Saccharomyces cerevisiae S288C: one gene and its partner. The protein of the gene in region 2 interacts with the protein of the main gene of each other region in a pairwise test. Each region holds a gene or a part of one and is shown on either strand. Other genes may lie near its edges.

Evidence for each region. The genes of interacting proteins can lie anywhere in the genome.
Region 1: the proteins of NEO1 (region 2) and DOP1 interact in binary tests that used the Saccharomyces cerevisiae proteins (3 or more experiments, as listed by UniProt).

Annotation. Positions count from the first base shown.
Region 1 is NC_001136.10:737,915-741,673, reverse strand, and holds the start of DOP1 (Dop1p), read left to right. Parts: upstream 1-1,676; coding exon 1,677-3,759. Other genes in the region: PEX7 (Pex7p), read left to right, coding at 74-1,201. UniProt on the Saccharomyces cerevisiae protein: Required for traffic between late Golgi and early endosomes, and for the normal structure and organization of the endoplasmic reticulum. Required for normal cellular morphogenesis.
Region 2 is NC_001141.2:259,401-263,159, forward strand, and holds the start of NEO1 (aminophospholipid-translocating P4-type ATPase NEO1), read left to right. Parts: upstream 1-2,036; coding exon 2,037-3,759. Other genes in the region: PCL7 (Pcl7p), read left to right, coding at 1-370; DFG10 (putative polyprenol reductase), read left to right, coding at 758-1,519. UniProt on the Saccharomyces cerevisiae protein: Flippase that catalyzes the hydrolysis of ATP coupled to the transport of lysophosphatidylserine, phosphatidylethanolamine, and phosphatidylserine from the lumenal to the cytosolic leaflet of the Golgi apparatus membrane and ensures the maintenance of asymmetric distribution of phospholipids.

The sequences.
Region 1 (3,759 bases), on a different chromosome or scaffold from region 2:
CGACGCTCGAAAAGTGCAGAGATCTCATATTGTTAACGGACTATCATCTAACTTTTTGCATAATTTATACAACATGCTCAGATATCATATGCAAGGTTTTAGTGGGTACGGTGTCCAGTATTCTCCCTTTTTCGATAACAGGCTCGCGGTAGCTGCTGGTTCAAACTTTGGCCTGGTTGGGAATGGAAAATTGTTCATCCTTGAGATTGATCGTTCAGGTAGAATAGTGGAAGTTAATTCCTTTTTAACACAGGATTGTTTATTTGATCTTGCATGGAACGAAAGTCATGAAAACCAAGTGTTGGTTGCACAGGGCGATGGTACATTACGCTTGTTTGATACAACCTTTAAAGAGTTTCCTATTGCTATATTTAAAGAGCATGAACGAGAAGTATTCAGTTGTAATTGGAACTTAGTCAACAGGCAGAATTTCTTAAGTAGTTCATGGGATGGATCTATAAAAATATGGTCCCCTCTAAGAAAGCAAAGTTTAATGACCCTTACTCCACGACCTTTAGAGATTACCAAAATGGTGGATCCATTAAACGCCATTATATTGAAAAAGAAAAGCTTTACAGGTATTTCAAAAAACAGGAACTGTGTATACCAAGCACAGTTCTCGCCCCACGACCAAAATCTCGTATTATCCTGTTCAGGGAATTCTTATGCAAGCTTATTTGACATTAGACTACCTTCCGGCAAAAATCAGAATAATTTTTTAGTGCATTCAGGACTAGAAGCATTGACTTGCGATTTCAACAAATACAGACCTTATGTAGTTGCCACAGGAGGTGTAGATAATGCCATTAGAATCTGGGACATTAGGATGCTAAATAAAAATGAATCAGCGACTATCAAGAGGACTGTGCCCGGCCAACTTCACAATTCATCATGCATCAATGAAATCCCTAATGCGCACGGGCTGGCAATCAGAAAAGTTACCTGGTCCCCTCATCATTCCAATATTTTAATGTCAGCTTCATATGATATGACCTGTCGAATATGGAGAGATCTCAGCAACGATGGTGCAAAAGAAACATATAAAACTAACTCTACGGATGCTACTAAAGGTTCCATTTTCAATTTCACACAGCATTCAGAATTCGTATTTGGAGCTGACTGGAGCTTGTGGGGAAAGCCAGGATATGTGGCTTCAACTGCATGGGATGGAAATTTATTTGTATGGAACGGCTTAGGTTGACACATATTCTTTTTACACAAATTTTTTGCATTATTTAAACTTTAAAATTATTTTTCAATCATTGTCAGCATTTGGCAGATCATTTACGTAATTATTTAATATTCTCAACACGAAATTATGGGTAACAACGCTTCTGACTGTGCAAAAGAACATTCTAAAAACATACCTACGGCAAAAACTGCTAATTACTCAAATTAATCAAGTTTTTATAACGACATAAGCGAGTGCTGAAAGAAGGAATATTTAGAGTCCGATTACCGTTTTATTAATAAACGACATACTTATATATTTGCTGGGCGTTCCACCCGAGGCACGTGATCAAAAGTGATTTTGGTTTTTTCAAAGGCTAAGCTTCGATCTCACTGGAAAAGGAACAATAGCAATACCTAATATAAAACTCAAGCCTCCCAATTATGTTTATAACGGTGAAATAAAAAGCCGACAGAGCAGCTTTTTCTGAGAGGATCGACAAAAAATGTCCTTACCACTAAAGCCCCTTACAATTGACTCAAATAATAAACAACTAGACTCCAAACAGAAGAAGTTTCGTGCTAATGTCGAGCGAGCATTAGAAAGATTTGACTCTGTAACAGAATGGGCGGACTATATTGCTAGTTTGGGAACACTATTAAAGGCGTTGCAAAGCTGGTCACCTAAATTTCAGAATGTAAGGTACTATGTTCCTTCTCCATATCAAGTAAGTCGAAGATTGACATCCTCATTATCGCCGGCGTTACCAGCAGGTGTTCATCAGAAAACTTTAGAAGTATATACGTATATCTTTGAACATATTGGCCTTGAAACTCTGGCTACAGAATGTAACATTTGGATCCCGGGAATTTTACCTTTGATGACTTATGCCTCTATGTCTGTTAGGTCACATTTGATAGAGCTTTACGATAACTATATCCTTCTGTTGCCTCAAACAACGTTAAGACTGCTCATCAGACCTTTGATTTCTAGTTTATTGCCAGGAATTGATGATGAAAGCAACGATTTTTTACCTTTAACTTTAAAACTCATTGAGACTCTGCAGGAGAACTTGGATGATGATTCCTTATTTTGGCAAACGTTGTTTCTAGTCATGACTGCAAATAAAGGCAGAAGACTGGGCGGACTCACGTGGTTGACTAGAAAGTTTCCGTCGTTGAATGCTGTACCTCATCTAGTAAATAAAATAAAAATGGAAGCGGAAGAGAACCCAAGTGAAACTGAAACCAACGATTCTCATCTAGACAGGAAAAAAAGAAAAGAAGAAGCTTTCAAGGTCTTATTGCCTGCTGCCAAAGATTTAGTAACCCCTGAACCAGGTCTACTTATCCGATGCCTTGTCGGTTGTTTAGAAGATGAAAATGATATTCTTATTAAAAGGAGCGTTTTGGACCTTTTATTACAGAGGTTGAGGCTAGACTCTCCCGTTTTGAATGTTCTTATTACTTCTGAGGATAAAAAGTTATTGATAATGAGTTGTTGTAGAACTACTTTGAGCAAGGATATGTCTTTGAACAGAAGAATATGGAACTGGCTTCTCGGTCCTACTGCTGGGGGCATGCTAAACAATAACGGCGGGAACTCCATGGAATATACTACCTCGGTTAAGTCAGCAAACGAGGAAAGTAATGTATATTTTACAAAATATGGATTAAGCGCCCTTTTAGAAGGTTTAAGCGACCTTCTTTCAGAAGAAGAATCCGTGTTAACTGCATTCAGGATAAGTATGGCAGTAATGGATAGATGGGAAATTGGCTCACTTGTAATTCCTGAATTGTTCATCCCACTTCTCTATTCCTCGGAAAAATTTAAACAAAACGAACAAATAATGAAAACGGCACGTACTTTCTTTGACAATACTGAAACAAATATTATATGGGGAAAGCTATTTCAAGAACTTGAAGACATCAAAAACCTAAAAATTTTGGATTTCGTATTAACAAATTTTAATATTGGAAACGACGAAGAGATTATCGTACGCCACCTTCCTTTGATATTATTAACTTTACTGGCCCTTCCATCTAATGATAAAGATTTCGACAATATTTATAAGCTCCAAAAATTTTCTTTGTACAACAAATTGTTAAACTATATCCCCGAGAGAGCCCTTCTCCCTCTCAGTCACTCAAAACTAAAGCACGATGATGAAGTAAGCTGCGAAGAACTTTTGGCCAAAATACGTGGGTTTTATACCAATGTTTCTAATCCATCTAGCATTTTAGAGAAAGAAAATATAGCTGAGCGTTTGCCACCCTTTACAACAGAAGATCTAACTTTTTTAATAGCAGACCTGATTCAGAAGAAGCTTCTTTCAAGTTTATGGGACTTGGAAAATATCAATGAAAGCTCCAAATTATTTATAGCTATTTTCGAAAAGATACCTGAGTCTGAAGAACTTAAAGGACGATCTCACATAAGCTGGTCGGATAAAAAAATAACTCAGAGCATATTTGAGGCTATTCCCAGGCTTTGTGAATCTAATAATGATGCAAAATCAGAAGAAATCGTTGGAATTGTGGAAATTTTTGGTAACTACTTATATTCACGCATGGAATTCATTGAATCGA
Region 2 (3,759 bases):
CTTAGAGAGAATTCAAAAGTACTGTCCCACCACAAATGATATTTTTCTTTCTCTCCTTGTATATTTCGATAGAATCTCCAAAAATTATGGGCATTCTTCTGAGCGTAATGGTTGCGCAAAGCAATTATTCGTCATGGACTCCGGGAACATTCATAGATTGCTCATAACAGGTGTCACAATTTGCACGAAGTTCTTGAGTGATTTTTTTTACAGTAACTCTCGATACGCCAAGGTTGGAGGTATTTCTTTGCAAGAGTTAAACCATTTAGAATTACAATTCCTGATACTATGTGATTTCAAGTTATTGGTTTCAGTCGAAGAAATGCAGAAATATGCAAACTTGTTATATAAATTCTGGAACGACCAGTAGAATGCTGTCCTGCATATTATTCATGCCCTTCCCTTACCGTTACTCGTATTATACATATCAATTTCTGATTTACGTAACGCGTACATATCGGTTATATTTAAATAATTTAATATTCCTTTTAAATCAGTGGTTTTTCATATTAGTAGCATTTCTCCTGAAATGATAGCTATTGCAATAGAATGAAAAAAAAAACTTTTTGCCCAAATAAATCATAATCTACCGGTAAAGAGAAATTCGGTCCTTGTTCTATTCAGTATTATGCTTTCTCTTTTTTTTCCAAAATGAGAATTAAGGACGTTTCGAAAAAGTAAAAATATACCAAATGTGGAATATAAATAGGTTTATCGGCGGACCGATCTGGCTTAAAACGTAGAATCTACCAGTCCAATGTACTTTGATGAAGAACAATTGCTAAAATATACTATATATGCCTATAGATTATCCTTTTTTGTAGGCATTTGCTCACTTTTCATAGCAAAAAGTTGTCTACCAGAATTTCTTCAATATGGTAAAACCTACCGGCCCAAAGAGAATTCAAAGTACTCAAGCATTTTAGAACGAATCAAGAAGTTCACAGTTCCAAAGGCGTATTTTTCCCATTTTTACTATTTGGCTACCTTTCTATCCTTAGTCACCTTATATTTCTATCCTAAATTCCCCATCGTTTGGATCATATTTGGACACTCATTGCGCCGACTTTATGAAACGCTTTATGTACTACATTATACAAGCAATTCTAGGATGAATTGGTCCCATTATCTAGTCGGTATATGGTTCTATTCCGTACTCTTGTTAATTCTTAATATATCACTGTACAAGAACTCCATTCCAAATACGTTAAACATGAATGCTTTCATCATATTCTGCATAGCATCTTGGGATCAGTACAAAAATCATGTTATTCTGGCCAATCTGGTTAAATATTCGCTGCCAACAGGAAGGCTTTTCAGGTTGGTATGCTGTCCTCATTATCTCGATGAAATAATCATTTATTCTACTCTGTTGCCCTATGAACAAGAATTTTACCTAACACTAGTTTGGGTAATCACAAGTTTGACTATATCCGCATTGGAAACAAAAAATTATTACAGGCACAAATTTAAAGACAATCACGTAGCCCCCTACGCCATAATACCTTTTATAATCTAGTAATGTGCACACTAGGGCATTCATATACATATATATATAGACGCGGTAAAGAACCACTTTACTTTCACTATTATCACTTTACCACTAATTAGACAGCAAAGGCTCGTATACGTGTCATTAAAAACGAAGGTAAGGCCATACCTTTTTGAGGCAGTTGGAAAGAGTAAATACTGGCACAGTGGCTAAGACCTATCACTGCCAAACAAAAGGTTAGACATCTTGGGAATTTCGGACACATTCGTTACTTAAAACGAGGACCAAAATTACTCAATACCTATTTTTTATTTAATATTTTAGGCATTGTTTCACCTGAATTTGCTGCTATTAGAAGCCTGATCTACGCAATAAAAGATTTCATCTGGATTTTTGAAGCTTATACAGTACTCAACAATCAGCTTATTAACAGCAATATACCGTTAAGCAATTGAGAAAAAGTAACAATCAGAGCACTTGTGTGGCATAACGTTAATCTGAAAAAGAAAGGGGTATCAGTGTGCACGGAAAACTTCAGAGACAAATGCCTAACCCTCCTTCATTTAAGTCACATAAGCAGAATTTATTCAACTCCAACAATAATCAACACGCAAACAGTGTAGATTCTTTTGACTTACATCTCGACGATTCATTTGACGCTGCTTTAGACAGTTTACAAATTAATAATAACCCAGAACCACTTAGTAAGCATAACACTGTTGGAGATAGGGAAAGTTTTGAAATGAGAACAGTAGATGATTTAGACAATTTTTCTAACCATTCTTCGGATTCGCATCGTAAGTCTTCAAACACAGATACCCATCCTTTGATGTATGATAATCGCCTCTCGCAGGATGATAATTTCAAATTTACTAATATTGCTTCGTCACCACCGTCGTCTTCAAACAATATTTTTTCAAAAGCCCTCTCATATTTAAAAGTATCTAACACAAAAAACTGGTCCAAGTTTGGTTCACCCATAGAACTCAGTGATCAACACATCGAAAGAGAAATACATCCAGACACGACTCCTGTGTACGATAGGAATAGATACGTTTCGAATGAACTATCTAATGCCAAATATAATGCCGTTACTTTTGTGCCAACCCTATTATATGAACAGTTCAAATTCTTTTACAATTTATACTTTTTAGTAGTTGCATTATCGCAGGCCGTTCCTGCACTAAGAATAGGGTATTTATCATCGTATATTGTACCTTTAGCATTTGTGCTGACAGTAACCATGGCAAAGGAAGCTATAGATGATATTCAGAGAAGGAGACGTGATAGAGAGTCAAACAATGAACTGTATCATGTAATAACGAGAAATCGTTCCATACCAAGCAAAGACTTAAAAGTTGGAGATCTCATAAAAGTCCATAAAGGTGATCGTATTCCCGCTGATTTGGTTCTTTTACAATCAAGTGAACCATCAGGCGAGTCATTTATCAAAACTGACCAACTAGATGGGGAGACTGACTGGAAACTACGTGTTGCCTGTCCCTTGACCCAAAATCTATCTGAAAATGACTTAATTAACAGAATTAGTATAACAGCCTCTGCTCCTGAGAAATCTATTCATAAATTTTTAGGTAAAGTTACCTATAAGGATTCCACTTCAAACCCTTTGTCTGTAGATAATACTCTATGGGCGAATACTGTTCTAGCTTCCAGTGGATTTTGTATTGCTTGTGTCGTCTACACTGGCAGAGATACTAGGCAAGCTATGAATACAACTACAGCTAAGGTTAAAACTGGCTTATTAGAGCTAGAAATTAACAGTATTTCCAAGATTCTTTGTGCATGTGTTTTTGCCCTGTCAATTCTTTTAGTTGCATTTGCCGGTTTCCACAATGACGACTGGTACATTGACATTTTGAGGTATCTGATATTGTTTTCTACCATCATCCCTGTCTCTTTAAGAGTTAATTTAGATTTAGCCAAAAGTGTTTATGCACATCAGATCGAACACGATAAAACCATTCCTGAAACAATTGTTAGAACGAGTACAATTCCAGAGGATTTAGGCCGTATTGAATACCTTCTAAGCGACAAAACAGGGACGCTTACTCAGAATGATATGCAATTGAAGAAAATACACTTGGGTACTGTATCATACACGTCGGAAACATTAGACATTGTATCCGACTATGTACAATCTCTGGTGAGCTCTAAAAATGACTCTTTGAACAATTCTAAAGTTGCCTTATCAACAACAAGAAAGGATATGTCTTTTCGTGTACGTGATATGATTTTAACTCTAGCAA